Anolis sagrei: one gene and its partners. The protein of the gene in region 4 purifies or fractionates together with the protein of the main gene of each other region. This does not show direct contact. Links are inferred from orthologs where the notes say so. Each region holds a gene or a part of one and is shown on either strand. Other genes may lie near its edges.

The links.
Region 1: the proteins of VAPA (region 4) and WDR44 purify together in Homo sapiens (affinity purification with mass spectrometry; 3 studies listed by BioGRID and IntAct, counting the BioPlex papers as one, with this or other methods). This does not show direct contact. The link is inferred for Anolis sagrei from reciprocal best matches to the Homo sapiens genes VAPA and WDR44.
Region 2: the proteins of VAPA (region 4) and PITPNM1 purify together in Homo sapiens (co-immunoprecipitation; 4 studies listed by BioGRID and IntAct, counting the BioPlex papers as one, with this or other methods). This does not show direct contact. The link is inferred for Anolis sagrei from reciprocal best matches to the Homo sapiens genes VAPA and PITPNM1.
Region 3: the proteins of VAPA (region 4) and TACC1 purify together in Homo sapiens (co-immunoprecipitation; 4 studies listed by BioGRID and IntAct, counting the BioPlex papers as one, with this or other methods). This does not show direct contact. The link is inferred for Anolis sagrei from reciprocal best matches to the Homo sapiens genes VAPA and TACC1.

What each region holds. Positions count from the first base shown.
Region 1 is NC_090030.1:22,993,762-23,001,703, forward strand, and holds the start of WDR44 (WD repeat-containing protein 44), read left to right. Parts: upstream 1-4,924; 5' UTR 4,925-5,049; coding exon 5,050-5,117; intron 5,118-7,942. UniProt on the Homo sapiens protein: Downstream effector for Rab11 which regulates Rab11 intracellular membrane trafficking functions such as endocytic recycling, intracellular ciliogenesis and protein export.
Region 2 is NC_090021.1:235,040,001-235,047,330, reverse strand, and holds the start of PITPNM1 (membrane-associated phosphatidylinositol transfer protein 1), read left to right. Parts: upstream 1-4,322; 5' UTR 4,323-4,533; intron 4,534-7,330. UniProt on the Homo sapiens protein: Catalyzes the transfer of phosphatidylinositol (PI) between membranes. Binds PI, phosphatidylcholine (PC) and phosphatidic acid (PA) with the binding affinity order of PI > PA > PC. Regulates RHOA activity, and plays a role in cytoskeleton remodeling.
Region 3 is NC_090027.1:2,516,276-2,523,674, forward strand, and holds the start of TACC1 (transforming acidic coiled-coil-containing protein 1), read left to right. Parts: upstream 1-4,385; 5' UTR 4,386-4,618; coding exon 4,619-4,791; intron 4,792-7,399. UniProt on the Homo sapiens protein: Involved in transcription regulation induced by nuclear receptors, including in T3 thyroid hormone and all-trans retinoic acid pathways. Might promote the nuclear localization of the receptors.
Region 4 is NC_090024.1:64,967,918-64,975,597, reverse strand, and holds the start of VAPA (vesicle-associated membrane protein-associated protein A), read right to left. Parts: upstream 3,017-7,680; 5' UTR 2,852-3,016; coding exon 2,776-2,851; intron 1-2,775. UniProt on the Homo sapiens protein: Endoplasmic reticulum (ER)-anchored protein that mediates the formation of contact sites between the ER and endosomes via interaction with FFAT motif-containing proteins such as STARD3 or WDR44.

The DNA of each region.
Region 1 (7,942 bases), on a different chromosome or scaffold from region 4:
CAGGCCCTTTAAGGGAGGAGGATGCTCCAAATGCACTGCTTCCCAGCTACAAGCTTGCTTCTCCTTGGATTTGAGAGCATCCCAATCCGTGCATATTTCCTATTCCTGGACTGCAACTCCCAGCAATCCTCCAGATAAATAAGATATATAGATTAGACAGAGATAGATAGTAGGTAGACAGATCAATCAGGAGGACCTCTGGGAGTTGCAGTCTAAGAATAGGTAGAGAAGGAAGAAAGAAGAAAAAGGGAGGGAAAGGAAGGAAAGAGGCAGAGAAGGAAGGAGAGAAGGAAAGAAAAAAGGGAAGGAAGGAAGGAAGGAGAGAAAGAAAAGAGAGAAAGAGGGAGGGAAGGTTGGCCACAGCACCGCGTGGCAGGTACGACTAGTATTATATTTATATGTAATGTTCACCTGAATGTTAGGAAGAACTCCCTGACCATATGAGCTGTTCAACAGTGGAACTCTCTGCCTCAGAGTGTGGTGGAAGCTCCTTCCTAGGAAAATTTTAAACAAAGGCTGGACGGCCATCTGTCAGGGATACTTTGATTGTGCTTTTCCTGCATGGCATGGGGTTGGACTAGATGGCCTTTGGGATCTCTTCCAACTCTATTATTCTATGATTATGTGTGAGTGAGTGAGTGTATGTGTGTGTGTATGCGCATATATCTATATATATATATAGTCCTAACTGTACCCGCCACACGTTGCTGTGACCAACCTTCTCTCCCTCTTTCTCTCTCTCTTTCTCTTCCTCCCTCTTTCCTTCCTTCTTTCCTCTTTTTTCTTTCTTTCTTTGTCTCCTTCTCTTCCTCTTCCCTTCCTTCCCCCTCAGCTTTTCTTTCCCTTCTTCTTTCTCCCTTTTCTTCCTTCTCTACCTATTATTGGACTGCAACTCCCAGTAGTCAAAGAATATCTATCTATCTATCTATCTATCTATCTATCTATCTATCTATCTATCTATCTATCTATCTATGTATCTATCTATCTATCTATCTATCTATCTATCTATCTATGTATCTATCTCTATCTCTAATCTATCTATCTGTCTGTCTGTCTTATCTGTCTGGAGGATTGCTGGGAGTTGCAGTCCAGGAATAGGAAAATTGGAAATATGTAGGAATTGGGATGCTCTCAAAGAAATCCAAGGAGAAGAAAGCTTGCATCTTGGAAGCAGTCCATTTGGATCATCCTCCTCTCCTCTCCTCTCCTGGTCTAGGGGATGCTGGGAGCTGTAGTCCAGAAGAGAGTGTGGATGTGCTATTGTGTGTTTTGTTTGAAAGGGGAGTTGTTTTGCGCATGCGCTGTAGCATCTTTTTGCATTTTTGGCTTTGAAAGTCTCCTCTGCTGTGTTTTTCAGTGTTTTTATGAGTCATGGTCGCTTGTTGGCCTGATAGGTATCTTGCGTCCAAATTTGGTGTCAATTCGTCCAGTGGTTTTTGAGTTATGCTAATCCCACAAACGAACATTACATTTTTATTTATATAGACTAACCTTCCCCTGCTACACGTTGTTGTGGTCCAGTCTGTGTATATGTGTGTTTGCATATATGTGTGTGCGTGTGTGGTTTTGTGTGTTATAATTTTGTTTTCTTGCTTATTAATTATGGTCTGCTGTGTTTTTCAGTATTTTATAAGTGACTAGCCATCCCCTGCCATGCATTGCTGTGGGCCAGTCTGTGTACATGTGTTTTGTGTGTGTATATATTTGTGTATATGTGTATATATATGTGTGTTTGCATATACGGTATATATGTGGTTTTGCACATGTGTTGTAATGTATTTTAATTGCTTTTTAAGTATCTTCTGCTGTGTTTTTCAGTGTTTTATGAGGGATGGTCACTCATTGGCTTGCTGGGTGTTTTGTGTCCAAATCTGGTGTCAATTCGTCAAGTGGTTTTTGAGTTATGTTAATCCCACAAACGAACATTACATGTTTATGTATATAGATAGAAGATATATGTGTGTATGCATATATGTGTGTGTGTGCATATATATATATATAATGTATGTATGGTCCTTTATTTATTTATTTATTTATTTATCGTGTCATCAGCAACCATACCGTTGTATTACAATTCTAACAGAATAAAACAAACACACAGATTAAAAAGAAAAAGAAGAAAAAAACACAGAGATTTTGCAAACTTGGTAGTTGGTTAAATGTCCTTTGACCAGTATCTGGCCACTTGGAGTGCCTCTGGTGTTGCCGCAAGAAGGTCCTCCATGGTGCATGTGGCAGGGCTCAGGTTGCATTGCAGCAGGTGGTCAGTGGTTTGCTCCTCTCCACACTCGCATGTTGAGGATTCCACTTTGTAGCCCCATTTCTTAAGGTTGGCTCTGCATCTCGTGGTGCCAGAGCGCAGTCTGTTCAGCGCCTTCCAAGTCGCCCAGTCCTCTGTGTGCCCAGGGGGGAGTCTCTCATTTGGTATCGGCCATTGATTGAGGCGCTGGGTTTGGGCCTGCCACTTTTGGACTCTTGCTTGCTTGGACTCTTGCTGCCACTTTTGGACTCTTGCTCTACAGAATGTCTCTGTAGATCTAAGAAAACTATGTCTTGATTTAAGTCGTTGGCGTGCTGGCTGATACCCAAACAGGGGATGAGCTGGAGATGTCACTGCCTTGGTCCTTTCACTATTGGCTGCTACTTCCCGGCGGATGTCAGGTGGTGCAATACTGGCTAAGCAGTGTAATTTCTCCAGTGGTGTAGGGCGCAGACACCCTGTGATAATGCGGCATGTCTCATTAAGAGCCACATCCACTGTTTTAGTGTGGTGAGATGTGTTCCACACTGGGCATGCGTACTCAGCAGCAGAGTAGCACAGCGCAAGGGCAGATGTCTTCACTGTGTCTGGTTGTGATGCCCAGGTTGTGCCAGTCAGCTTTCGTATGATGTTGTTTCTAGCGCCCCACTTTTTGCTTGATATTCAGGCAGTGCTTCTTGTAGGTCAGAGCATGGTCCAGAGCAGGGGTCCTCAAACTTTTTAAACAGAGGGCCAGGTCACAGTCTTTCAAACTGTAGGAGGGCCGGATTATAATTTGAAAAAAGCATGAATGAATTCCTATGCACACTGCACATATCTTATTGGTAGTGCAAAAAAACACTGAAAAAAAATACAATAATTAAAATGGGTTCAAGCTGGGTTTAGAAAAGGCAGAGGAACGAGAGACCAGATTGCCAATATCCGCTGGAGAATGGAGAAAGGCAGGGAGTTTCAGAAAAACATCTACTTCTGCTTCATTGACTATTCTAAAGCCTTTGACTGTGTGGATCATAATAAATTGTGGCAAGTTCTTAGTGGGATGGGCATCCCAAGCCACCTTGTCTCTCTCCTGAGGAATCTGTACAAGGACCAAGTAGCCACAGTCAGAACTGACCACGGAACAACAGACTGGTTCAAGATTGGGAAAGGCGTACCGCAAGGCTGCATACTCTCACCCAACCTTTTTAACGTGTATGCAGAACACATCATGCGATGTGCGGGGCTGGATGAATGCAAAGCTGGGGTGAAAATTGCTGGAAGAAACATTAACAACCTCAGATATGCAGATGACACCACTCTGATGGCCGAAAGCGAGGAGGAGCTGAGGAGCCTTCTAATCAAGGTGAAAGAAGAAAGCGCAAAAGCCGGGTTGCAGCTAAACGTCAAAAAAACCAAGATTATGGCAACAAGAATGATTGACAACTGGAAAATAGAGGGAGAAAATGTGGAGGCCATGACAGACTTTGTATTTCTAGGCGCAAATATTACGGCAGATGCAGACTGTGGCCAGGAAATCAGAAGACGCTTCCTTCTTGGGAGGAGAGCAATGTCCAGTCTCGATAAAATAGTGAAGAGTAGAGACATCAGACTGGCAACAAAGATCCGCCTAGTCAAAGCCATGGTCTTCCCTGTAGTCACCTACGGATGTGAGAGCTGGACCTTAGGGAAGGCTGAGCGAAGGAAGATCGATGCTTTTGAGCTGTGGTGTTGGAGGAAAGTGCTGAGAGTGCCTTGGACTGCGAGAAGATCCAACCAGTCCATCCTCCAGGAAATAAAGCCCGGCTGCTCACTGGAGGGAAGGAGACTAGAGACAAAGTTGAAGTACTTTGGCCACATCATGAGGAGACAGGAAAGCCTAGAGAAGACAATTATGCTGGGGAAAGTGGAAGGCAAAAGGAAGAGGGGCCGACCAAGGGCAAGATGGATGGATGGCATCCTTGAAGTGACTGGACTGACCTTGAGGGAGCTGGGGGTGGTAACGGCCGACAGGGAGCTCTGGCGTGGGCTGGTCCATGAGGTCACGAAGAGTTGGAGACGACTGAACGAATGAACAACAATTAAAATGAAGAACAATTTCACAAATACAAACTTATTAGTATTTCAATGGGAAGTGTGGGCCTGCTTTTGGCTGATGAGATAGGATTGTTGTTGTTGTTATTGTGTGCTTTCAAGCCATTTCAGACTTAGGTTGACCCTGAGCAAGGGCCGGGTAAATGACCTTGGAGGGCCACATCTGGCCCTCGGGTCTTAGTTTGAGGACCCCTGGTCCAGAGTGACTCCCAGGTATTTGGGTGTGCTGCAATGCTCCAGTGGGATTCCTTCCCAGGTCATCCTCAGAGCTTGAGATACTTGTCTGTTCTTATGGTGAAAAGCACAAATCTGTGTTTTAGATGGATTAGGGATCAGTTGGTTTTCCCTGTATGGTCCATGAGGTTACTAAAAAAATTGAAGGAAAGAACAACAACAACTAATATATGATCTACATGCACATGCATCTATGTATGTTTTTGCATGCATATAGGATTCCTTGGCTTCCACCTCTTACCCAGCGATTGGGAGCCGGAAGTGATGCGTGCGAGTGACTCTTCCCAACCCTCTTGGTGCTGTTGCTTTTTCCCCCCTCCTCCTTTTCTCGGGGCTCCGGTGGCCCCGCCCCGCCTTCCTTCCTTCCTTCCTCTCGCGAGATTTGGGGGCCAGGCCCGACCCGCTCTGCGCGGCTGCCGCTGCTGCTCCTTCTCCTCCTTCCTGGCTCCTTCCTTCCTCCCTTCCTTCCTCCTTCCTTCCCGGGGATGGCCTCCGACTCAGACCCCGAGGAGCTCTTCTACGACGCCGCCGAGGACGTCGCCCACCCTTCCCCGTGAGTTGGGCTCTTGGAGTTGTTTGTTTATTTATATTCCCGCTTAATCCGGATTGGGGGTGCCTTAATCCGGATTAAAGCTGGCTATCCACGACGGGGAGCGAACCCAACCCCCCACTCCCCCCAAATCTCATTCTCCGGCCCAGAGCTGCGTGGAAAAGACCTTAATCCGGATTATCTTTAATCCGGATTAGAGCTTTTAAAAAATATATATATAACAACTATTGACTCCCTCTTCATTGAGCCGCTGGATTCAGATTGGGGGGTGGGGGGAGCTCCAATCCAGATTAAGGGTAATCCGGATTAAACACCACCTCCATCTGGACAAACTGAACTAAGACTAATCCCGTTCAAACCAGATTGGAGCTTTTCTTTTTCTAAAGGAAACCCAAAAAACAACGTTGAGCCTGTAAATCCGGATTGGGGGGAACTCCAAATCCAGAATAAGACTAATCCGGATTAAACACCTCCATCTGGACAAAACTAAGACTAATCCGGATCAAACACCTCAATCCAGATTGCAGCTTTTCGTTTTCTAAAGTAAATACAGAAAACAACATTGAGCCACTAAATCCGAATTGGGGGGGGGGGCTCCAAATCTAGACGAAGGCTAATCCGGATTAAACACCTCCATCTGGACAAGCAAAACTAAGGCTAATCCCGTTCAAACACCTCAATCCAGATTGCAGCTTTTCGTTTTCTAAAGTAAATACATAAAACAACATTGAGCCAATAAATCCAAATGGGGGAGGAGCTCAAAATCCAGAATAAGGCTAATCCGGATTAAACACCTCCATCTGGACAAACAAAACTAAAGCTAATCCCGTTCAAACACCTCAATCCAGATTGGAGCTTTTTGTTTTCTAAAGTAAATACAAAAAACAACATTGAGCCACTAAATCTGGATTGGGGGGAAGCTCCAAATCCAGATTAAGGCTAATTCGGATTAAAGATCTCAATGTGGAATTTTTTTCTCTCTTTTAAACAAACAAAACAATTGTCTCTCATGTCATGGAGCCTCTGGATAGGAAAAGGGGAGGGAAAAAGTGCAATCCGGATTAAGGGTAATCCGGATTAAAGACCTCAATCCGGATTAAAACTTTCCTCCCCTCTTTTTAAACAAGCAAACAAACTATTGCCTCTCTTGCCATGTAGCCTCTGAATATGAATGGGGGGGGGTGCAATCCGGATTAAGGCTAATCCGGATTAAAGACCTCAATCCGGATTGGAACTTTCCTCCCCCCTTTTTAACAAGCAAACGAACTATTGCCTCTCTTCTCATGGATCCTCTGAAAGTGAATGGGGGGGGGGGAGGTGCAATTCGGATTAAGGCTAATCCGGATTAAAGACGTCAATACAGATTGCAGCTTTCTTTTTTTTAAATTGATTTTATTTGTGATTTTTGTAATACTTTCAACATTTAATTCAATTTAATAACAATTTGTTATTAAATTGTATTGTGTTTTGCTACATAGTGTAATAATTATGTCCTCTGAGGCTGGGAGAGTGTGACCAGCAGTAGTGTGTGTTTTTGTAGCTCAAGCTCATTTGTCTCATTCAGAAAGCAAACAAAGGCTGCCTGGAAGGCACTGTCAAAGCCCTCCCCACAGATGGCCATCCAACCTCAGTTCAGAGACCTCCAGAAAAGGAGACTCCACTGGACTCCCAGACAGATGATACACACATTTCCCACATTACAGACATCCGACTTGCATCCAACTCCTAGTTAAGAATGGGGCTGTGACGACAGGAAGTGAAAGGAATCTACTCCTCGGAAGGGAAATTCACTCCTGAAAGAATTATTATCCTGGGGGAAAGGAGTCTCCACTGAAGCCTTTTATCCCCAGTCCTTGTTTTCACAACAAACCACATTTCTCAAATTCTCACAGAGACAAATAGTGAGGTGGAATCTTTTGTACAGGGTCACAGACAGCAAAACAAACCCCATAGCGGTGTTCACTTTTCCCTATGCTGTACAACGCTTGTGTGTATGTGTTTATAGTGCATCTAGCTGACCCCTGCCATGTTTTGCTGTGGCCCAGTTTACTGATCTGGAAAATAAAGTAATGAGAAAGTGTTGGTTTCTAATATATGTAATTTCTTTATGTTTGTGGATAAACAGCATTTTTTGTTGTTTCTTTGTCACTGTTGGTGTGGAGATTGACTGGTTTGCCTACTCTGGAACATGCAAGATATACTTGTCCTTCTTTAGGGGTCCCTTTCAAATCTATGATACTATATCTGTGTGTGTGGATCATATCTTTCTATATCTATGGCTGGATGGCTCTTTGTCAGGAGGGCTTTGATTACGTTTTCTTGCCCTGATGAAGAGAGTTGGGCTGGATGGCCTTAAGTATTTTCTGTTGGTCATAGGGGTTCTGTGTGGGAAGTTTGCCCCAATTCTGTCATTCGTGGGGTTCAGAATAATTCTAATAATAATAATAATAATAATAATACTTTATTTATACCCCGCCACCATCTCTGCAAGGGACTCGGAGCGGCTTATATGAGGCCAAGCCCAACAACATATCAATAAAACAGGAAAGCAATAAACAGTACAATAAACAGTGCAATACAATACAATACAAATTAATAAACAATATAATACAATACAAATTAATATAAATCACATATAAACAACAACACACAAGAATGCTCTTTGATTTTAGGTGAATTATAAATCCCAGTAACTACAACTCCAAAATGTCAAGGTCTAGTTCTCCCAAATTCCATTTGTGTGCATATTTGGGCAGATGGAATATTTGTGACAAGTTTGGTCCAGATCCATGATTGTTTGAGTCCACAGTTCTCTCTGAATGTAAGTG
Region 2 (7,330 bases), on a different chromosome or scaffold from region 4:
TTCATATCATGATCTGATCACCATACTCAATATATCCCATATGCATGGGAGTATTGGGGTAATGATACAAAGGTTTGCTAGGATAGACCCTCTTTCACTCAGACTCATCCCCCCCCCGAAGCTCAGCCCCCCGACCCCCCCTGAAAAAAACTCAGCCCCCCCCCCCCCCGAATCGAAATCCTGGCTACGGGCCTGGGTCACAAGCATGGTTGGTGGGGACGAGAGAAAGAGCCTTCTCGGTGGTGCCCCCCTGCGTCTGGAACACCCTTCCTAGAGAAATAAGACAGGCCCCATCCCTCCCCTCCTTTCGTAAGAGCCTGAAGACCTGGTGGTTTAAACAAACCTTTGAGAACAACTATTATTTATTTATTTATTTGATGCATTTATTAACCGCCATTCTCAGCCCTTTAGGGCGACTCATGGCGGTGTACACACATATAAAGACAATTTACAAAGAGGCAATTACAACAACCTATAAACTACACAACTAGTTCTAGCTCAGACCAAGATACTGTTGAATATGGCCATATCTTTTTCCACCAATTAATTACCCAGGTTAATTCCTCCTCTTAGGCCCCAGAAATGAACAGCCCATAGACTCTACCTAATTTCCCAGGCCCTCTACAAATTGCCTTGAACAGGCAGGATTATTTTAAATATATATGTGCTATTGTGATTTTTTTTTATGCTTATACTGTCTTTTAAATTTTATGTTGTTTACTTTGCATGCATTGATGATGTTACTTGGAAACCAATCTGAGTCCCCTCGAGGAGATAGAGCTGTATATAAATAAAGTTTTGTTGTGGTGGTGGTCAACGTTCAACACAAAATGACCATAGAGTCATACTAGAAGAGCAAGAAATTCATAGAGAAAACACTTTAATCAAATCTGTGAGTTGCACCGGCCAACACACCTTTTGGTGCCTCAAATGGTAGCTCTGTTTTTGGATATATTTGACCTGCTGATTCCAAACACTCCGCCGGTTTTGCCTATTGGGTCTAGTTTTTTGAGATATGGAAGATATGCCATTTACTAGTTGCTGGTCCGTAAGAACTCATGATAACCATAGGAAACTAGAGCTGGTGGTCAATCCCAGGCCTAGGCAAACTTGGGTCTTCCCTCCACAGTGTTTTGGACTCCAACTCCCACCATTCCCAACAGCTTAAGCGGCTGAGGGGGGAAAGGAAGGGGCCTGAGGCTGTTAGGAATGGTGGGAGTTGGAGTCCAAAACACTGGAGGGAAGACCCAAGTTTGCCCAGGCCTGATATAGAACTACAACTCCCCAGATTTCACAGTGTAGATGCCCTCTTTGTTTCATTCCAGAAGAGACATTTAGTGTCATTGGTGGGAGGAAAATGTTGCCATTCTAAGTAGAGCAATTAAAGAGGTCATTAATGGCTGGCAAGCAACCAGGGATAATCCTCCTGGCAATCAATGTTTTGGTTTATTTACAGCCCTGTAGCTAGTGCTCAAGTATTCCTATTTTTGTTGCTATTTATAAGCGTATTTATTGGGGAGGGGGCGAGAGAGAGAGGGAGGGAGGGAGCTGGGGAGCGCTTACGCACGCATTTGTTCTCGAGGTTTCCTTCGCCCCGCAGCTGCTCCCATTGAGGCGCTTGATGTCACCAGCCCCTGACGTCACAGGCGTTTCCCGGGTAATGAGCTGTGATGTCACAGGAGGAGGGGAGCGCGCGCTCGCTCACCCGCCCGCCCGCTCTGCCTTCCTATCTGCAGGTTGCCGCAGTTCCTATGGAAACCTCATCCCGGTTTGCAAAAGAGAGAGCCGGGCTGCAGCGTTATAGCATCTGGAGCAGCCTCGAATCCAAACCGGGACAAAGGAGGCAGGGAGAGAAGGAGAACTCCCCCGGCGCGATGGTTGCGCGGTGCTTCCACCAAAGGTCTCGAAAATTGCTCAATGTCTCCCTTTTTTGGGGGAGGAATCTGAATAATAATAAACTTCACAACCTCTGAGGATGCTTGCCATAGATGCAGTCGAAACGTCAGGAGAAAATGCTTCTAGAACATGGCCATATAGCCCGAAAAACCTACAACAACCCACTAATTGCCTGCACACCTCGCCAAGGCCCCATTTACACTGACATTTAGTGCAGTTTCAGACCGGTATTGGAAGAAAGTGGCATGGCTGTGCAGATGATGACTACATAGGGAGGAACTCATGGAACCAGTTTGGAGTGACACCTCTCCAAAGCCCCATCTACATTGACCATTTAGTGCAGTTTCAGACTGGTATTGGAAGAAAGTGGCTTCGCTGTGCGGATGATTGACAACATAGGGAGGAACTCATGGAACCAGTTTGGAGTGATTGATTGCAAAAACCACTGAGACAGCATTAATTAAGGGCTTGCTTTTGTAGGGATCTGTTGCTTGAGGTGGATGCTAAATCATCACACTAGAGAATTAATCTACTTTAAATCCAGTTGCTGCCTCCTGAAGATTTCTGGGGTTTGTAGTTTAGGGAGGAACCTTAAACAACCTCCCTAAACTACAAACCCCAGAATTCTGCAGGAGGCAGAATTTAATGTGGGTTCATTCTCTAGTGTGATCTAGGGCTCTTCCACACAGCCATATAACCCAGAATACCAAGGCAGAAAATCCCACAATATCTGCTTTATAGTGGGTTATCTGAGTCCACACTGACTGACATATATTCCAGTTCAAAGCAGAAAATGTGGGATTTTATTCAGCTGTGTAGAAGGGGCTGAAGTGAATGGCCATCATTGGGCCCTTCCAGACAGGCCCTATATCCCAGGATCCGATCCTAGATTTTCTGCTTAAAACTGGATTGTATGAGTCCACATTGCCTGATAATCTGGGATAAACAGAAAACCTGGGATCAGATCCTGGGGGCCCTTCCACACAGACATCTATCCCAGAATATCAAGGTAGAAGATCCCACAGTATGTGCTTTGAATTGGGTTATTTTAGTCCACACTCAGATAATGTGGAATTTCCTGCCTTGATATTCTCGGATATAAGGCTGTGTGGAAAGGCCCTGGGATGTAGGGCCTGTCTGGAAGGACACGTAGATGGGGCTTCCATCCCCAAAACACCCGGTTGCAAGGTTGCATCTGGGGGCCCTTCTTTTGTTGTTCTTTTGTTCAGTTGTTTCTGACTCTTTGTGAGCTCATCGACCAGCCCATGCCAGAGCTCCCTGTCGGCGGTCACCACCCCCAGCTCCTTCAAGGTCAATCCAGTCACTTCAAGGATGCCATCCATCCATCTTGCTCTTGGTCAGCCCTTCTTCCTTTTTCCTTCCATTTTCCCCAGCATCATTGTCTTCTCTAAGCTTTCCTTTCTTCTCATGATATAGCCAAAGTACTACACAGCCCTATATCTGAGAATATCAAGGCAGGAAATCCCACATTATGGACTCAGATAACCCAGTTCAGAGCAGATATTGTGGGATTTTCTGCCCTGATATTCTGGGATATAGGGCTGTGTGGAAGGGCCCTACATGATGGAATGAATGCAGCCTGGCTCCACTTGAACTGCTATGGCTCCATGCTCAGGAATCCTGGGAGTTGCAGTCTGGAGGGGGCATCAGCAGCAATTTTTGACAGAGAAGTCGAAAGACCTCGGGCCCTTCCACGCGGCCCAATATCCCTGAATATCAAAGCAGACAATTCCACAATATCTGCTTTGAACTGGGTTATCTGAGTTCACACTCAGATAATGTGGGGTTTTCTGCCTTGATATTCTGGGATATAGGGCTGTGTGGAAGGGTACCTTGTCAAACTTCAACTACCAGGATCCCTTCGCTTTGAGTCAATGCAATCATTCCACAATGTAGATCCACTCTGGGTCAGGCCTGGGCAAACTTGGCCCCTTCAGGTATTTTGGACTTCAACTCCCACCAATCCCAAGGGCCTGAAGCTGTTGGGAATGGTGGGAGCTGAAGTCCAAAACACCTGGAAGGCCCAATTTTCCCCAGCTCTGTTGAAGACCTTGTAAAACTACAACTCCCAGGATTCCACACCCGTAAGCAATGTCAACCCGCCTTCCTCATGCATGCCACAGGGTAGAAAGGAGATGCGCCCAGAGATTCTTCCTTTGCCTTCCCCCCTCCCTTTCCTGAACCCCGTTTCCTCCTCCCTCCCTCCTCCTCCTCCTCCTCTTCCCTCCTCCTCTTGCAAGGAAGGCGAGACTGCGGCTGAGCGAGCGCGCGCGCTTCGGGGCTGCGGTGACGCGGAGGCAGCGGCCCTCCTCCTCCTCCCCCTCCCTCTCTGCATCCCCCTCCCTCTCTCTCTCCTCCCTCCCTCCCTCCCTTCCTGGGCCACCACCGTCCAGACCATGATCTTCTTGCCGCCTTCGGAGCGCGTCCCCGGCGGCGCCCCTCCAGCAGCCTACGGAGGAGGAAGAGGAGGAGGAGGAGGAGGCAGCAGCGGCAAGGCAGGCGCCTCGGGAGGGAGGACCTAGGCGCAGCCAGCCAGCCAGCGTCCCAAGCCCGCTGCCTGCCTGCTTTCCTTCCTTCCTTCCTTCCTCCGGAGCATTTCCCACCGCCGAGCCACAGGTCTGGACGCAGATGGGGGAAAAGGGGGCCAGGGAGGAGGAGGAGGAGGAAGAGGAGGAAGGCGGGAAGTGGTGGGCGTGCAAGAGAGAGAGAGAGGGGGGATTCACATGGCAACGGGGGCTTGGGAGGTCGGTGTCGCTTCATAGCCGTGCCTCAGTATCTGAAAGGATGCATCGGGGGCAAGCTTGTTTACTGCTGCTCTGGATTGCCATGCCTTCCAATGACAGGAAAAGGGATTCCACCAAAAACATCAGGAAGAACTCCCCTATATGTTAAACCTCCTATTAGGTTTATAAGCAGAGGCTGGGTGGCCATCTGTCGGGAGTGCTTTGATTGTCTATTTCTGAATGACAGAAAGGGTTGGGCTGCATGGCCCCTTGGGGTCTCTTCTGACTCCAGGATACTATGTATGATGGTCACCTGTCAAGGGTGCTTGGATTCTGGAAATTCATAAGCAGAGGCTGGATGGCTGTCTGTCAGGAATGCTTTGATTATGTATTTCTGCATGACAGAGTAGGGTTGGATTGCATGGTTCCTTGGGATCTCTTCTGACTCCAGGTATCATGGTTATCTATCAGGGCTGCTTTGATTCTGGAAATTCATAAACAGAGACTGGATGTCTGTCTGTCAGGAGTGCTTTGATTGTGTATTTATGCAAGGCACAGTAGGGTTGGATTGCATGGTCCCTTGGGGTCTCTTCTGACTCCAGGTATCAGGGCCATCTATCAGGGGTGCTTTGATTCTGGAAATTCATAAGCAGAGGCTGGATGGCCATCTGTCAGGAGTACTTTGATTGTGTATTTTCTGCAAGGCAGAGTAGGGTTGGATTGCATGGTCCCTTGGGGTCTCTTCTGACTCCAGGTATCATGGTCACCTGTCAGGGGTGCTTTGATTCTTATAAGCAGAGGCTGGGTGCCCATGAAATGCTTTGATTGTGTATTTCTGCATGGCAGAGTAGGGTTTGGTTGCCTGGCCCTTCCGACTCCAAGATTCTATGCATGATGGTCACCTGTCCAGGAATGCTTTTATTCTGGAAATTCATAAGCAGAGACTGGATGGCCATCTGTCGGGAGTGCTTTGATTGTGTACTCCTGCATGAGTTAATGCATTCAGACAGGGTAGGGTTGGGCTAGTTGGTCCTTGGGGTCTCTTCCAACTCTAGGATTCTATGTATAATGTTGACCTGTCCAGGAGTGCTTTGATTCTGGAGATTTTCAAGCGGATCCTGGATGGCTATCTGTTGGGAGTGCTACATGACAGAAGGGAGTTGGGTTTGATGGTCCTCAGGGTCTCTTCCAGCAGTGGAATTCTATGTTATGAGCACAGCACATGGAAGATTTCTGAATGACATGTAGATTTCTGGTTGTGTTTTCCTGCAAGAGTTTTGGACTGGATCATGGTCCTTGTGGGTTGAATGCAATTTTCCTGCTTCTTGGCAGGGGGTTGGACTGGATGGCCCACGAGGTCTCTTCCAACTCTGTGATTCTCTGATTCTAGATCAAGGAAGGTAATGCAGTGGGGAAGAGGTGGGCGGGGGCCCAAGGAAGTGTAACACACCTACAGACATGCACATCCATGCCTTTTGTGGTTTTTGTGTTCTTGCTGTAGAAATTCCTGAGAAATAGCTCTGGGTGGCAGTGAGCTATTGTGCGTCTACACTGTAAAATGAAGACAGTTTGGTACCACTTGACCTGCCATGGCTCAACCCTTATAGAAACCCGTAAGTTTGGCATTCATTCTACAGTGTAGATGCACTCAAGAATAAATAGGCAAGAAATTTATTATTGTTATTATTATTATTATTATTATTATTATTATTATTATTATTATTGTGTTGCCGAAGGCTTTCATGGCCGGAATCACTGGGCTGCTGTGAGTTTTCTGGGTTGTATGACCATGTTCCAGAAGCATCATCATCATCATCGTTGTTGTTATTGTTATTTTACTGACAGAGAAACACAGTATGTCACAGCAAATGAGATATATATGCTTTATTTCGTATCACACAATCACAAGTCGAACACTTCCCAAGTGTCTAGGACTGGGTGATGTATTTTCAAATGTATTGTCGAAGGCTTTCGCGGCTGGAATCACTGGGTTGTTGTATCTATGGCAAGCATCTGAGGATGCCTGCCATAGATGCAGGTGAAACGTCAGAATATGGCCTCTAGAACATGGCCATATAGCCCAAAAAAACCCCTACAATAACCCAGTATTTTCGAATGATGCACGCAGATCCAAGTAAGGTGGCCTTTTGCAGTTGACAGATCATGATTTTGTCAATAATAATAATAATGTGGGCTAGGACACCTCTCCTTCCTCTCACTGTTTGAATCCAGAGTGGGATCTCTTGGTGGTCTCCCAAACTCATCTCCTTTCTCGAATGCCTTGGTTCTCCATTTCCATGAAGCAGGGAGTTTCTCACCTAAAGAAAAACATGTGGCTGCCAGCACATTCAGAGGATGACTGCTTTTTCTTTCTCTTTCTTTCTCTTGCTGTGATTTCCTTCCTCATACTTTGGGGCAGGCTGACATTAGACAGGGTTTGTCACCTGGAAGCCTGGCCTTAGCTGAACCTCACAGGCCTGTTGTGTTGTTATACTCACCATTAAAAACACAGGAGCCCAGCCAAGGGTGAGGAGGGGCCATTATTTTGGATGTACTAGCTTGCTGGTTCTTCTAGCGATGCATTTTCTACCCACTGTGCAAGAATTTTTGAGGACTGATAGAATATAGAGATTTTTAGAAGTGGCTTGGGCCAGGTTACCACGTTTCTTCCCCCCGCCATCTTGGCTGGG
Region 3 (7,399 bases), on a different chromosome or scaffold from region 4:
CACGTTGCTGTGGCCAACCTTCCCTCGCTCTTTCTCTCCTTCTTTCCCTTCTTTCTTCGCTCTCTCTTTCCTTCCCTTTTCTTCTTTCCTTCTCTCCTTCCTTCCTCCTCTATCTCTTTCCTTCCCCCTTTTTCTTTTCCTTCCCTTTCTCTCCTTGCTTCCTTCTCTACCTCTTTTTTTCCTTCCTTCACTTTTTGCTTCCATCCTTCCGTCTTTCCTTCCCTCTTTCTCTCCTTCTTTTCCTTCTTTCTTCACTCTCTTTCCTTCCCTTTTCTTCTTTCCTTCTCTCCTTCCTTCCTCCTCTATCTCTTTCCTTCCCCCTTTTTCTTTTCCTTCCCTTTCTCTCCTTGCTTCCTTCTCTACCTCTTTTTTTCCTTCCTTCACTTTTTGCTTCCATCCTTCCGTCTTTCCTTCCCTCTTTCTCTCCTTCTTTTCCTTCTTTCTTCACTCTCTTTCCTTCCCTTTTCTTCTTTCCTTCTCTCCTTCCTTCCTCCTCTATCTCTTTCCTTCCCCCTTTTTCTTTTCCTTCCCTTTCTCTCCTTGCTTCCTTCTCTACCTCTTTTTTTCCTTCCTTCACTTTTTGCTTCCATCCTTCCGTCTTTCCTTCCCTCTTTCTCTCCTTCTTTTCCTTCTTTCTTCACTCTCTTTCCTTCCCTTTTCTTCTTTCCTTCTCTCCTTCCTTCCTCCTCTATCTCTTTCCTTCCCCCTTTTTCTTTTCCTTCCCTTTCTCTCCTTGCTTCCTTCTCTACCTCTTTTTTTCCTTCCTTCACTTTTTGCTTCCATCCTTCCATCTTTCCTTCCCTCTTTCTCTCCTTCTTTTCCTTCTTTCTTCACTCTCTTTCCTTCCCTTTTCTTCTTTCCTTCTCTCCTTCCTTCCTCTATCTCTTTCCTTCCCCCTTTTTCTTTTCCTTCCCTTTCTCTCCTTGCTTCCTTCTCTACCTCTTTTTTTCCTTTCTTCGCTTTTTGCTTCCATCCTTCCTTCTGTCTTTCCTTCCCTCCCTCTTTCTCTCCTTTCTCTCCTTTCTTCGCTCTCTCTTTCCTCCCCTTTTCTTCTTTCCTTCTCTCCTTCCTTCTCTATCTCTTTCCTTCCTTCCTTCCTTCCTTCCTTCACTTTTTGCTTCCATCCTGTCTTTCCTTCTTTCCTTCCCTCCCTCCCTCTTTCTCTCCTTTCTTTTCTTTCTTCGCTCTCTTTCCTCCCCTTTTCTTCTTTCCTTCTCTCCTTCCTTCCTTCTCTACCTCTTTCCTTCCCCCTTTTTCTTTTCCTTCCCTTTCTCTCCTTGCTTCCTTCTCTATCTCTTTTCTTCCTTCCTTCGCTTTTTGCTTCCATCCTTCCATCTTTCCTTCCCTCCCTCTCTTCTTCTTTCCCTTCTTTCTTCGCTCTCTCTTTCCTTCCTTTTTCTTCTTTCCTTCTCTCCTTCCTTCCTCCTCTATCTCTTTCCTTCCCCCTTTTTTCTTTTCCTTCCCTTTCTCTCCTTGCTTCTCTACCTGTTTCCTTCCTTCCTTCGCTTTTTGCTTCCATCCTTCCTTCTGTCTTTCCTTCTTCCCTCCCTCTTTCTCTCCTTGCTTCTCTACCTCTTTCCTTCCTTCCTTTGCTTTTTGCTTCCAGACCCAGACCTTGTGAAACTACAACTCCCATGACTCCATAGTTGTTATAGTGGTGTCTTTTAATGTAGATAATCTCCCAATGTTTGCATGGCTCCATGCTATGGGAGCTGTAGTTTGTCGAGGCTCGAGCAATAATTAGCAAAGAAGAGACCCCCTAGACCTTGTCAAACTACAACTCCCAGGATTTCATAGCAATTGCTGTGGCGTGTAGATATACCCTATATTTGCATGGCTCAGTGCTATGGAATCCTGGGAGCTATAGTGGTGGCAAAGAAGACTCCAGTCCATGTGAAACTACAACTCCCAGGATGCCAGAGAAGTTACAGTGATATCCTTCAATGTAGATAAACTCCCAATAGTTGCATGGCTCCATGCTATGGGAGTTGTAGTTTGTCGAGGCTCCAACACTAATTAGCAAAGAAGACCTGCCTAGACCTTGTCAAACTACAACTCCCAGGATTTCATAGCAGTTGCGGCAGTGTGTAGAGACACCCTATATTTGCATGGCTCAGTGCTATGGAATCCTGGGAGCTATAGTGGTGGCAAAGAAGACTCCAGACCTTGTGAAACTACAACTCCCATAGTTGTTATAGTGGTGTCTTTCAATGTAAATAAACTCCAAATGCTTGCATGGCTCCATGCTATGGGAGCTGTAGTTTGTCGAGGCTCCAGTACTTATTAGCAAAGAAGACCCACCAGACCTTGTGAAACTGCAACTCCCAGGATGCCATAGAAGTTATAGTGATATCCTTCAATGTAGGTAGATTCCCAATGTTTGCATGGCTCCATGCTATGGGAGCTGTAGTTTGTCGAGGCTCCAGCACTAATTAGCAAAGAAGACCCACCATACCATGTCAAACTACAACTCCCAGGATTTCATAGCAGTCGTGGTGGTGTGTAGAGACACCCTATATTTGCATGGCTCAGTGCTATGTTTGCAAAGAAGACTCCAGACCTTGTGAAACTACAACTCCCAGGATGCTAGAGAAGTTACAGTGGTATCCTTCAATGTAGATAAGATTCCCAATATTTCCATGGCTCCATGCTATGGGAGCTGTAGTTTGTCGAGGCTCGGGCACTAATTAGCAAAGACCCCCCCAGACCTTGTGAAACGACAACTCCCAGGATTTCATAGCAGTTGCGGTGGTCTGTAGATATACCCTATATTTGCATGGCTCAGTGCTATGGAATCCTGGGAGCTATAGTGTTTGCAAGGAGGACCCACCAGACCTTGTGAAACTACAACTCCCAGGATTTCATAGCAGTTGCGGTGGTGTGTAGATACACCCTATATTTGCATGGCTCAGTGCTATGGAATCCTGGGAGCTATAGTGTTTGCAAGGAGGACCCACCAGACCTTGTGAAACTACAACTCCCAGGATTTCATAGAAGTCACTGTGGTGTGTAGATACACCCTATATTTGCATGGCTCAGTGCTATGGAATCCTGGGAGCTATAGTGTTTGCAAGGAGGACCCACCAGACCTTGTGAAACTACAACTCCCAGGATTTCATAGAAGTCACTGTGGTGTGTAGATACACCCTATATTTGCATGGCTCAGTGCAATGGAATCCTGGGAGCTATAGTGTTTGCAAGGAGGACCCACCAGACCTTGTGAAACTACAACTCCCAGGATTTCATAGAAGTTACTGTGGTGTGTAGATACACCCTATATTTGCATGGCTCAGTGCTATGGAATCCTGGGAGCTATAGTGTTTGCAAGGAGGACCCACCAGACCGTGTGAAACTACAACTCCCAGGATTTCATAGAAGTTACTGTGGTGTGTAGATACACCCTATATTTGCATGGCTCAGTGCTATGGAATCCTGGGAGCTATAGTGTTTGCAAGGAGGACCCACCAGACCTTGTGAAACTACAACTCCCAGGATTTCATAGCAGTTGCGGTGGTGTGTAGATACACCCTCTATTTGCATGGCTCAGTGCAATGGAATCCTGGGAGCTATAGTGTTTGCAAGGAGGACCCACCAGACCTTGTGAAACTACAACTCCCAGGATTTCATAGAAGTTACTGTGGTGTGTAGTTACACCCTATATTTGCATGGCTCAGTGCTATGGAATCCTGGGAGCTATAGTGTTTGCAAGGAGGACCCACCAGACCTTGTGAAACTACAACTCCCAGGATTTCATAGAAGTCACTGTGGTGTGTAGATACACCCTATATTTGCATGGCTCAGTGCTATGGAATCCTGGGAGCTATAGTGTTTGCAAGGAGGACCCACCAGACCTTGTGAAACTACAACTCCCAGGATTTCATAGAAGTTACTGTGGTGTGTAGATACACCCTATATTTGCATGGCTCAGTGCTATGGAATCCCGGGAGCTATAGTGTTTGCAAGGAGGACCCACCAGACCTTGTGAAACTACAACTCCCAGGATTTCATAGAAGTTACTGTGGTGTGTAGATACACCCTGTATTTGCATGGCTCAGTGCTATGGAATCCTGGGAGCTATAGTGTTTGCAAGGAGGACCCACCAGACCTTGTGAAACTACAACTCCCAGGACTCCATACCCCAGAGCCATGCAATTAGAAGGTGTATTTCCATTGAAGAATGGCAGTTCCAGTAGCGTGGAAGTCCATTCCTGCCAGGGTGTCAAATGCAGCCTGGGAGTGAGTCACGTGTCGGGGGGCCACCTCACGTCTGAAGGGGGCCCCTCCCTCCCGGCCAATCAGGGCCTGCCTTTCCTCTCTGCTCCGGGGCGGGAGGGGGGGGGAGCGTTTTGACGCAGCGGGCCCCGCCCCCGCTGCCTGGCTGCTTGCACGCGTTGGGCGACGTAACGTGTGAATGCGGGCTGGGCGGGCGAAAGGCGGGTTCGGAGGAGGCGGGACCGAGGCAGGCCGGCTCCTTGGGCATCCGTCAGAGGGTCCCTGCCTGTCTTGCCTTGCGAGGCGGAGTCAGAGGAGGAGGAGGAGGAGGAGGAGGAGGAAGGATGGCGCTGGGCTGAACCACATCCGCGCCGGATCCGCTCCATTTTGACGCCGTGTGGCCCCGATGGCGTTCAGCGCCTCCTGGCAGCTCCTCTCGCCGGTCCAGTGGGCCAAGTGGACCTGGTCCGCCGTCCGAGGAGGAGGGGGGGCCGCAGGGGGAGGGGGGTCCGGACCCGAGGAAGAGGAGGAAGAGGAAGAAGAAGAGGCTCAAGGAGAGACCCGCTCGCTCAGCCTCAGGCAAGTCCCGCGTCAGCGCGCTCACACGTGACGCGTGTACACTCGCGTGTCAGCCAAGGAGGGGGAGGAGAGGCGCGCTCACACGTGACGCGTGTACACTCGCGTGTCAGCCAAGGAGGAGGAGGAGAGTGCGCTCACACGTGACGCGTGCACACTCGCGTGTCAGCCAAGGAGGGGGAGGAGAGCACGCTCACACGTGACGCGTGTCAGCCAAGGAAGAGGAGGAGGGCGCGCTCACACGTGACTCATGCACACTCGCGTGTCAGCCAAGGAGGGGGAGGAGAGCACGCTCACACGTGACGCGTGTACACTCGCGTGTCAGCCAAGGAGGAGGAGGAGAGTGCGCTCACACGTGACGCGTGTACACTCGCGTGTCAGCCGAGGAGGAGGAGGAGAGCGCGCTCACACGTGACGCGTGCACACTCGCGTGTCAGCCAAGGAGGAGGAGGAGAGAGCGCTCACACATGACGCGTGTATACTCGCGTGTCAGCCAAGGGAGGGGGAGGAGAGAGCGCTCACACGTGACGTGTGTACACTCGCGTGTCAGTCATGGAGGGGGAGGAGAGCATGCTCACACGTGACACGTGTACACTCGCGTGTCAGCCAAGGAGGAGGAGGAGAGTGCGCTCACACGTGACGCGTGTACACTCACGTGTCAGCCAAGGAGGAGGAGGAGAGCGCACTCACACATGACGCGTGCACACTCACATGTCAGCCAAGGAGGGGGAGGAGAGCATGCTCACACGTGACACGTGTACACTCGCGTGTCAGCCAAGGAGGAGGAAGAGAGTGCGCTCACACGTGACGCGTGTACACTCACGTGTCAGCCAAGGAGGAGGAGGAGAGCGCGCTCACACGTGACGCGTGTACACTCGCGTGACAGCCAAGGAGGAGGAGGAGAGCGCGCTCACACGTGATGCGTGTACACTCACGTGTCAGCCAAGGAGGAGGAGGAGAGCACGCTCACACATGACACGTGTACACTCATATGTCAGACAAGGAGGAGGAGGACAGCGAGCTCACACATGACGCATGTACACTCGCGTGTCAGCCAAGGAGGAGGAGGAGGGCACGCTCACACATGACGTGTGTACACTTACGTGTCAGCTGAGGAGGGGGAGGAGAACGCGCTCACACGTGACACGTGTACACTCGCGTGTCAGCCAAGGAGGGGGAGGAGAGGCGCACTCACATGTGACACATGTACACTCGCGTGTCAGCCAAGGAGGAGGAGGAGAACGCGCTCATACGTGATGTGTGTACACTCGCGTGTCAGCCAAAGAGGAGGAGAGCGCGCTCACACGTGACGCGTGTACACTCGCGTGTCAGTCGAAGAGGAGGAACAACAACAACATCCTAATGGGTGTGCTCCAGCTTGCAAGCAGGCTCAAGGCGCATCCCTATACCGGAGAATGGATGGGCTCCTCTGGAATGCTATTTGGTCCTTGGGAGTTGTAGTTTAGTGAGAGGCTGGGTGCAGAAGGAATGCTCCTTTGGGGTCCCCCTTGGGTGCATCTCCATTGAGTTTTTCAGGAGAGATTGGGGGCATCTCCATAGGAGAATAAATGCAGCTAGACTCAACTTGCATTGCCCTGGCTCAGTACTATGTGAGTTGTAGTTTTTTGAGGAGGTATTGTGTGTGTCTTCAATGCTATATGAGCCTGACAGTTGTAGTTTTGGGAGGTATTGTGTGCATCTCCATTGGAGAATGAATTCAGTTTGATCCCCCTTTGAAATTACCCTGGCTCAATGCTATGGGAGTTGTAGTTTTGGGAGGTATTGTGTGTGTTCAATGCCATTTGATCCCAGAAGTTCTAGTTTGGGGAGGTATTGTGTGCATATCCATTGGAGAATCAATGCAGATCGACTCTACTTGAATTGTCTTGGCTCAATGCTGTGGGAGTTGTAGTTTGGGAGGTATTGTGTGTGTCTTCAATGCTATTTGAGCCTGACAGTTGTAGTTTTGGGGGGTATTGTGTGCATCTCCATTGGAGAATGAACTCAGTTTAATCCCCCTTTAAACTGCCCTGGGTCAGTGGTATGGGAGTTGTAGTTTTTTGGGAGGTATTGTGTGTCTCTTCAATGCTATTTGAGCCTGACAGTTGTAGTTTTGGGAGGTATTGTGTGCATCTCCTTTGGAGAATGAACTCAGTTTAATCCCCCTTTAAACTGCCCTGGCTCAATACTATGGGAGTTGTAGTTTTGGGAGGTATTTGTGCATCTGCATTGGAGAATGAATGCCGATCGACTACACTTGAATTATCCTGGTTCAATGCTATGGCAGTTGTAGTTTGGGGAAGTATTGTTTATATCTCTACTATAGAATGAATTCAGTTCAATGCTCCATTGAATAGCCTTGGCTCAATGCTATGGGATATGGGAGTTGTAGTTTAATGAGAAATTGAGTGCATCTCCATTGTAGAATGAATTATTATTATTATTATGTTTATTTATTATAATAATAATTCATTCTATAATGGAGATGCACACAATCACACATTAAACTACAACTCCCATAATCACATAGCATTAAGGCCTGCTGCTCCTGGGAGTTGTAGTTTAATGAGTTTGGGGAGGTATTGTGTGCAACTCCATTGGAGAATGAATG
Region 4 (7,680 bases):
CTTCTGATTTCAGAATGAAATTATTCTGATTTTTGCCCTCAAAGTTGTAGTTTAATTTATTCAAAAAACTCAAGAGGGGTAATAGTATTTCTAACTGCTACAAGTTCACACCACTCCCTACACCTAATTGAGCCGGTCTGTAAATAACAACAATTCCTGCCAAAAATGGCCAGATTTATTCTCTCAACATTTATGGAACCTTGTGCTAGTCAATGCTGAAGTACAATTTTGTAACAGGGATGTTTCATTGTATTATGACAGCTACCCTTCAAGAGCTCTGGCTAAATTCAAAATGCCACTTCAATTTCAAAATTTTCAGTACTGTCCTGCCAAACACCCCATTGTGTAAACAATAATAATAATAATAATAAACAGCTTTTCCCAACTATAGATAAACTGAAGCCCCTTCCACACAACTGAATAAAATTTCACATTTCCTGCTTTGAACTGGGATATATGGAGTGTGGACTCAAGATAACCCAGTTCAAAACAGATATTGTGGGATTTTCTGCCTTGATATTTTGTGTTATATGGCTGTGTGGAAGGACCATGGGATATATGGCAGTATTGACTGACGACCCTTCCTGACAGGCACTATAACTCAGGATCTGATCCAAGGCTTTCTGCTTTAAACTGGATTATATGACTCTCCACTGCCAGATAATCTGGGATAAACAGAAAACCTAGGATCAGATCCTGGGATATAGGATCTGTCAGGAAGATACCTCAGATAACCCAGTTCAAAGTAGATTTTGTGGGTTATTCTGCCTTGATATTCTGGGTTATATGGCTGTGTGCAAGGGCCTTGAGGATTGAAGCAACAAATATTCAGCTCACGGAAACTTCTCAGCACTTGGCAGGGAATTATTATTACCTCTCAAGAAGAGGTTCGAACCAACGGGAACTGCCTTTTAATTCACGTAGAATGCAACACACAGATTTCAATGTGGTATTCACAAAATACAACACTTGAAATGTCAGGAGAATTAGTGTAGAAAACGCCCCTAGCTGTGCTCCTGGATGACACATCAAAGGGCGTTGGTGCAAAATGCCACCACTACGACTCTGCATGGGAGGAGGAGGAGAGTAGGCTCCGGAGGGGCAACATTCAAAGCAGGAAGAGGCAGGGGCGTGTGTGTAATGTGGGGGTGGGTGCCTGTCGTGGGGGATTGGGGAAGACAACGCCTAAAATACAGGAGGAAGCGTGTGAGGCTCTGATCCTCCTCCCAGCCTTATTATTATACAAGCCAAGAACATCCATCTATCCATCCATCCACCCGCATCTTGGGCCTGGCGCACACAACACAGGGAAAGGCAGGGAAGCAGCTTCCCGGAAGCCTCCGTCTCATATGAGCCTGTCACAGTTGCGACACAGAAGAAGGGATTTGGGAGGTGAAACAGACTCAGGGCCCTTCCACACAGCCCTAATATCACAGAATATCAAGGAAGAAAATCCCACAATATCTGCTTTGAACTGGGTTATCAGATAATGTGGGATTTTCTGCTTTGATATTCTGGGATATAGGGCTTTGTGGAAGGGCCCTCAGAACCGTCAGCATTGCAATGGATGTGATATTCTTTTCCACCATGCTCGATCAGAATCTCAATGGGCTGTGTGGAAGGGCCCTGAGTGGTATGTGAGGGGCCTTCCACATAGCCCTATACCCCAGAATATCAAGGCAGAAAATCCCACAGTATCTGCTTTTAACTGGGTTATCTGAGTATACCCTCAGATAATGTGGGATTTTCTGCTTTGATATTCTGGGATATGGGGCTGTGTGGAGGGGCCCTGAGTGGCAGAGGGTGCTCTGAATGGCTTTTCCTGCTTTTTGACAGGGGGTTAGACTGGATGGCCAACTCAATGATTCTACTTTGGAAATGACGGCGATATGGATGGGAAAATATCGACAAGAAAAGGTGTTTTTGTTGGCTCTTCTGGGCCCCTTCAACACTGCCATACGATCCTGATTACGGAAGCAGATAATCCACATTATCTGCTTTGAATTGAATTACACTGCCCTATAATCCAGATTATCGAAACAGACAATCCACAGGATCTGCTTCGAACTAGATTATACAGTATGAGCCCACACTGCCATATAACCCAGTTGAAAGAAGAGAATTTGGATTTTGTATGGCAGTGTAGATGGGGCCCTGGAAGCCCGTGAAGGGAGGCTGAATGAAGACCCCTCCACACAGCCCTATATCCCAGAATATCAAGGCAGAAAATCCTACATTATCTGAGTGTGGACTCAGATAACTCAGTTCCAAGCAGATATTGTGGGATTTTCTGCCTTGATATTCTGGGATATAGGGCTGTGTGGAAGGGCCCTGAGAATGTATTTTTGTCTCTCTGGTGGAAAAGGCATATGCATGTAATCCCTGCAGAGAGAGAGAGAGAGAGAGAGAGAGGCAAGGCGCCAGTCCGGCTCTCAGCTGAGAGAAGGGCAGGCGGAAAGAGACAGCGACGACGCCATGCGGAAGGGAAGGGAAAGCGAGGCAGGCCTCCCCAGCCCCCGACTGGCTGGCTGGCTGGCTGACCGGGAGCCTGGGCCCGAGGAGGCGGAGGAGGCCGCGAGGAGGGAAGCGTCAGCAAGATGGCGACGTCTCGTCCCGTTTCCCCGCTCGGAGCCTCCCCAGTGGCGACGGGCCCAAGCCTCCTTTTACAGGCCCCGAGGGAAGCCGCCCTCGATTTCCTCACAGCTCCCGGGGAGAAGGAGGCCCTCCCTCCTCCCCCCCCCCCCGAGAGGAGGCTTCACCTCCCTCACGGCGTACCTTTGAATTTGAGGTCGGTGGGCGGATCGAGCACCAGGATCTGGTCGTGCTTGGCCAGAGCCCCCGCGGCCGCCATCGCTGCTGCTCACACGTTCGCCTCAGTCCGGGAGCGGGAGGAGGAGGAGGAGGAGGAGGAGGAGGGCGCTCCGGTCGGGGAAAAGGAGGGGAGGGACGGAGAGGAGGAGGCGGAAGACGCGTAACAGGAGCACGCGCGCTCTCGTCAAGGCAAGCAGGCGTGTGTGCGCGCGCGCGCTCTCAGGGGCCCGCCTCAGCCTATGAGAATGCTTGTCATCTCTCTCCAATGGCACGGAGGGGCAAGCGGCCGGTTTAAGTTCTAAAAATTTTCGTTTCTCCGTCTTGCGAGAGAGAGAGAGAGCGCGCGCGGCTGCGAGACGCCGCGAGAGAGAGTCGTCTTCGCCGCTCTCGACACACGCAGGCGTGCGCGCGCGCGCGCGTTCCTTCCTGAGTGCCGCGAGACCGTCATTGACAGCTCGCCTCTCTCTCTCTCTCACTCTCTCTTTCACAACACCAGAGATGCGCTCGAGCCGGGTAGAGCGAGAGAGAGAGAGAGAAGAGCGCGCGCCGCTGTTTCGTGTCACGCGCGTCCTGGAGGGAGGAAGGAAAGGGAGAGATGGAAGTACAGGGAACACAAGAGCCCCCGGTGGCGCAGTGGGTTAAACCCCTGTGCTGGCCGAACTCAAGACCGACAGGTCGCAGGTTCGAATCCGGGGAGAGGCTCCACCTCTTCATATGGCTTGAATCCGTCTGTCAGCTCTAACTCGCCATGTGGGGACATGAGAGAAGCCTCCCACAAGGATGATTAAAAACATCAAATCATCCGGGCGTCCCTTGGGTAACGTCCTTGCAGACGGCCAATTCTCTCACACCAGAAGCAGTTTCTCAAGTCGCTCCTGACACGACAAAAAAAAAAAGGGAACACAAGACATTTGAATCCCTGTCAGGAGGGAAGATTGACAGGTCGGAAAGACAAGGCGGGGATAGTGAGAAGAGAGAGAGGTGCTTAAGTCAAAGTGGAAAAGAAAGGGAATTCGAGACCTATTCGACGTCGCCACAGTGAAGGGGGAAGCAGAGGACTACGACTCCCAGGATGCAGCGCGCGAGCCCGCTCCCCGAATTCTGCGGTCGGCGGGGGGCCAGGGCATGCTGGGAATTGTAGTCTCGAGGGAGGGAAGGGGGCACACACAGCCCAGGATGGGAGAAGGTGGGCGTTTCCCCCCTCAGGTTTAACACCCTTTGTGAAAGGAGAGGACAGGTTTAAAGCCTTGCCTTTCCTTCCAATCTGGACAAACGTTTCCAGCTGTCAAATTCAGAAATAATCCGGGTTTGCTAAATTTCAAACGTGTACAAAAATGCTCAAAATGCATCATGGCAAGCTTTCGAAGATCTCCTGATTTTTTGTATAACTGTGATTGCTTACAGTAGCGTTTCTCAACCTGGGGGTCGCGAGGGGGTGTCAGAGGGGTTGCCAAAGACCAGCAGAAAACGCAGTATTTTCTATTGTTGATGGGAGTTTTCTATTGTTGATGTAGTTGCTGGGATTTATAGTTCACCTACAATCAAAGAGCATTCTGAACCCCACCAAGGATAGAATTGGGTCAAACTTCCCCCAACTACAACTCCCAAATGTCAACGTATATTTTCCTCAAACTCCACCAGTATTCACATTTGGGTATATTCATGCCAAGTTTGGTCCAGATCCATCATTGTTTACTCTCTCCATACAGTTGAACTACAACTTCAAAACCCTTCCAGTATTTTCTGTTGGTCATGGGAGTTTGTGTACCAAGTTTGGTTCAGTTTCACCGTTGGTGAATTTCAAAATGCTCTTTGATTGCAAGTAACCCAGCAACTACAACTCCCCAATGACCAAATCAATTCCCCCTAACCCCACCAATATTGTTTTGGGGTGCATCAGGTATTTGTGCCAAATTTGGTCCAGTGAATAAAAATATATCCTACATATCAGATATTGACATTACAATTTATTACCGCAGAAAATTACTGTTATGAAGTAGCAAATAAAAGAATTGTATAGTTGGGGTCACCACAAATTGAGGAACTCTATTAAGGGGTCGCAACATTAGGAAGGTTGAGAACCACTGGCTTATAGTGTATTGGCAAACAAGGCGAGTGGAATTTCAGACATCAAAGAGGGATGCTATCAATAATCATAACATGGGATCCCTCCCTGACAGTCATTCAGAGTTGTTTCCGACTCTTCGTGATCTCATATTATATATATATATATATATATATATATATATATATATATATATATATATATAATATACATGTAATATTTATAATATTATAATGTAATCCAATATAATAATACTACTAATAATAATATGATATTATAATTATACTAGCTGTACCCGCCACGCGTTGCTGTGGCCAACCTTCCCTCCCTCTTTCTCTCCTTCTTTATTTCTCTCCTTCCCTCCGTTTTTCCTTCCTTCCCGCTTTTTCTTTTCCTTCTTTCTTCCTTCTTTATCTGTTTCTTTTCTCGCTTCCTTTGCTCTTTAGTTCCATCCTTCCTTGTTTCTTTCCTTCCTTCCCTCCTTCTCTCTCTCTTTCGTTCATTCTCTCCTTCCTTCCCTTTCACTTTTTTATTTCCTTCTCTCCTTCCTTCTCTACCTTTCTTTCTTTCCTTCTCCCCTCCTTCTTTCCCTCTTTCTCTCCCTCCTTCTCTCTCTCCTTCTCTCCTTCCTTCCTTCTCTACCCTTCTTTCTTTCCTTCTTTGTCTCCTTCTCTCCTTCCTTCTCTACCTTTCTTTCTTTCCTTCTCTCCTTCTTTCCCTCCTTCTCTCCTTCCTTCATTCTCTACCCTTCTTTCCTTCTCTCCTTCCCTCCTTCTTTCCCTCTTTCTCTCTCCTTCTCTACCCTTCTTTCTTTCCTTCCTTCTCTCCCTCCTCTCCTTCCTTCCTTCCTTCCCCCTTTTCTGTGTATGTATTTTGTGTGTGTATATGCATATATGTGTATCTATGTGTGTTTGTGTATATATGCGTGTGGTTTTGTGCATGAGTTGTAATGTATTTTGGGGTGGGTTTTTTTACTTTTTAAGTCCCTCCGCTGTGTTTTTTCCATGTTTTAATGACTAATGGACACTCGTTGGCCTGATAGGTGTCTTGTGTCCAAATTTGGTGTAAATTTGCCCAGTGGTTTTTGAGTTCTGTTAATCCCACAAACAAACATTACATTTTTATTTATATAGATATTTTATATTATATGTAATATTATTAATAATATATATATGCGTGTTTATTATATATTAATATATGCATATATATTAATTACATATATATATATGTATTAATATTATTAATAATATTACAGTCTAATGGTATAGTACAATATTGTAATCTATAATACTGATATTGTGCTATGCTAATAATATGTATTGTGCAAATTTTAAATGACTACCATGTTGACAAAAAGGGATCTGTTGCTGGTTGATATATTAGTTTGTGTGTGTGTGTGTGTGTGTGAAGCCCACAATACAATCTTCAGACACTAGGTGGCAGTCTTATCCAACCAGTTCATAGGTAGTTAGCAGTTTAGTCCAAGTTGAGGCCAGGGCAACCAAGAAAGAAGACACAATAGGCTCTCTGTAAAATGGAACCCAAGCTACTGTAACTCTCAAGCAACCAGCAAAATATATAGTTCAGTACTGTATTCTCAAGGCTATTCTTATAATACAGGAAAACTCTTGTCACATTACATTTGTCTTTAGTTGCTTTTTGTTGAAGTATCTCAACATTAGTATCAAATCAGTAGAGTTCATAGAGCCCCCGGTGGTGCAGTGGGTTAAACCCCTGTGCCGGCAGGACTGAAGACCAATAGGTCGCAGGTTCAAATCCGGGGAGAGGCGGATGAGCTCCCTCTATCAGCTCCAGCTTCTCATGCGGGGACATAAGAAAAGCCTCCCACAAGGATGATAAAAACATCAAATCATCCAGGCGTCCCCTGGGCAACATCCTTGCAGACGGCCAATTCTCTCACACCAGAAACAACTTACAGTTTCTCAAGTTGTTCCTGACACGACAAAAAAAAAAGTAGAGTTTATAGCAGGGATGGGCAAACTATGGCCCTCCAGGTGTTTTGGACTTCAGCTTAAGAGGCCAGAAATGTATTTTCTGTGGAATGTATTGTACTCATGACTACTATAACTTAACCTATTGATTTCATTGGACACTTTTAAATAAATTAAATTTGAATATAGTCCTGTGAGCTTATATTAGATGTGCATGAACAAGATCGGAGCTCCCTGTGGCACAACGGGTTAAACTGCTGAGATTCTGAACTTGCTGACTGAAAGCTCAGCAGTTTGAATCTAGGGAGTGGGATGAGCTCCTGCTGTTAGCCTCAGCTTCTGCCAACCTAGCAGTTCGAAAACATGCAAATGTGAGTAGATCAGTAGGTACTGCTATGGAGGGAAGATAACAGCACTCCATGTAGTCATGCTGGCCACCTGACTTTGGAGGCGTCTACGGAAAATGCCAGCTCTTTGGCGTAGAAATGGAGATAAGCACCACCTTCCAGAGTCAGACACGACTAGGGAAACCTTTACCTTAACTGTGAACAAGATATGGAGTGCAATCCTATGCATATATACTTAGAAAATAATTATCAATTTTCAGTGGTGTTCACATCGAAATAAGTATCAGCTTCACAGCATTCGCTTACAATATTAGGAAAACTGTTTCCAGGATATCTACTGTTACTATTCTGGTTTTTGTGAAATGACTTTGTAATTATGTATGTTTAACCTGGCAACAGGAGAATTAAGATCAATTGAATTTTTAAAAAATCTTGTACAGTTGCATCCAAGTGGTACTATATACCATGGCATACAATTCTTGCATTCTTATTTGACTTGATTTAT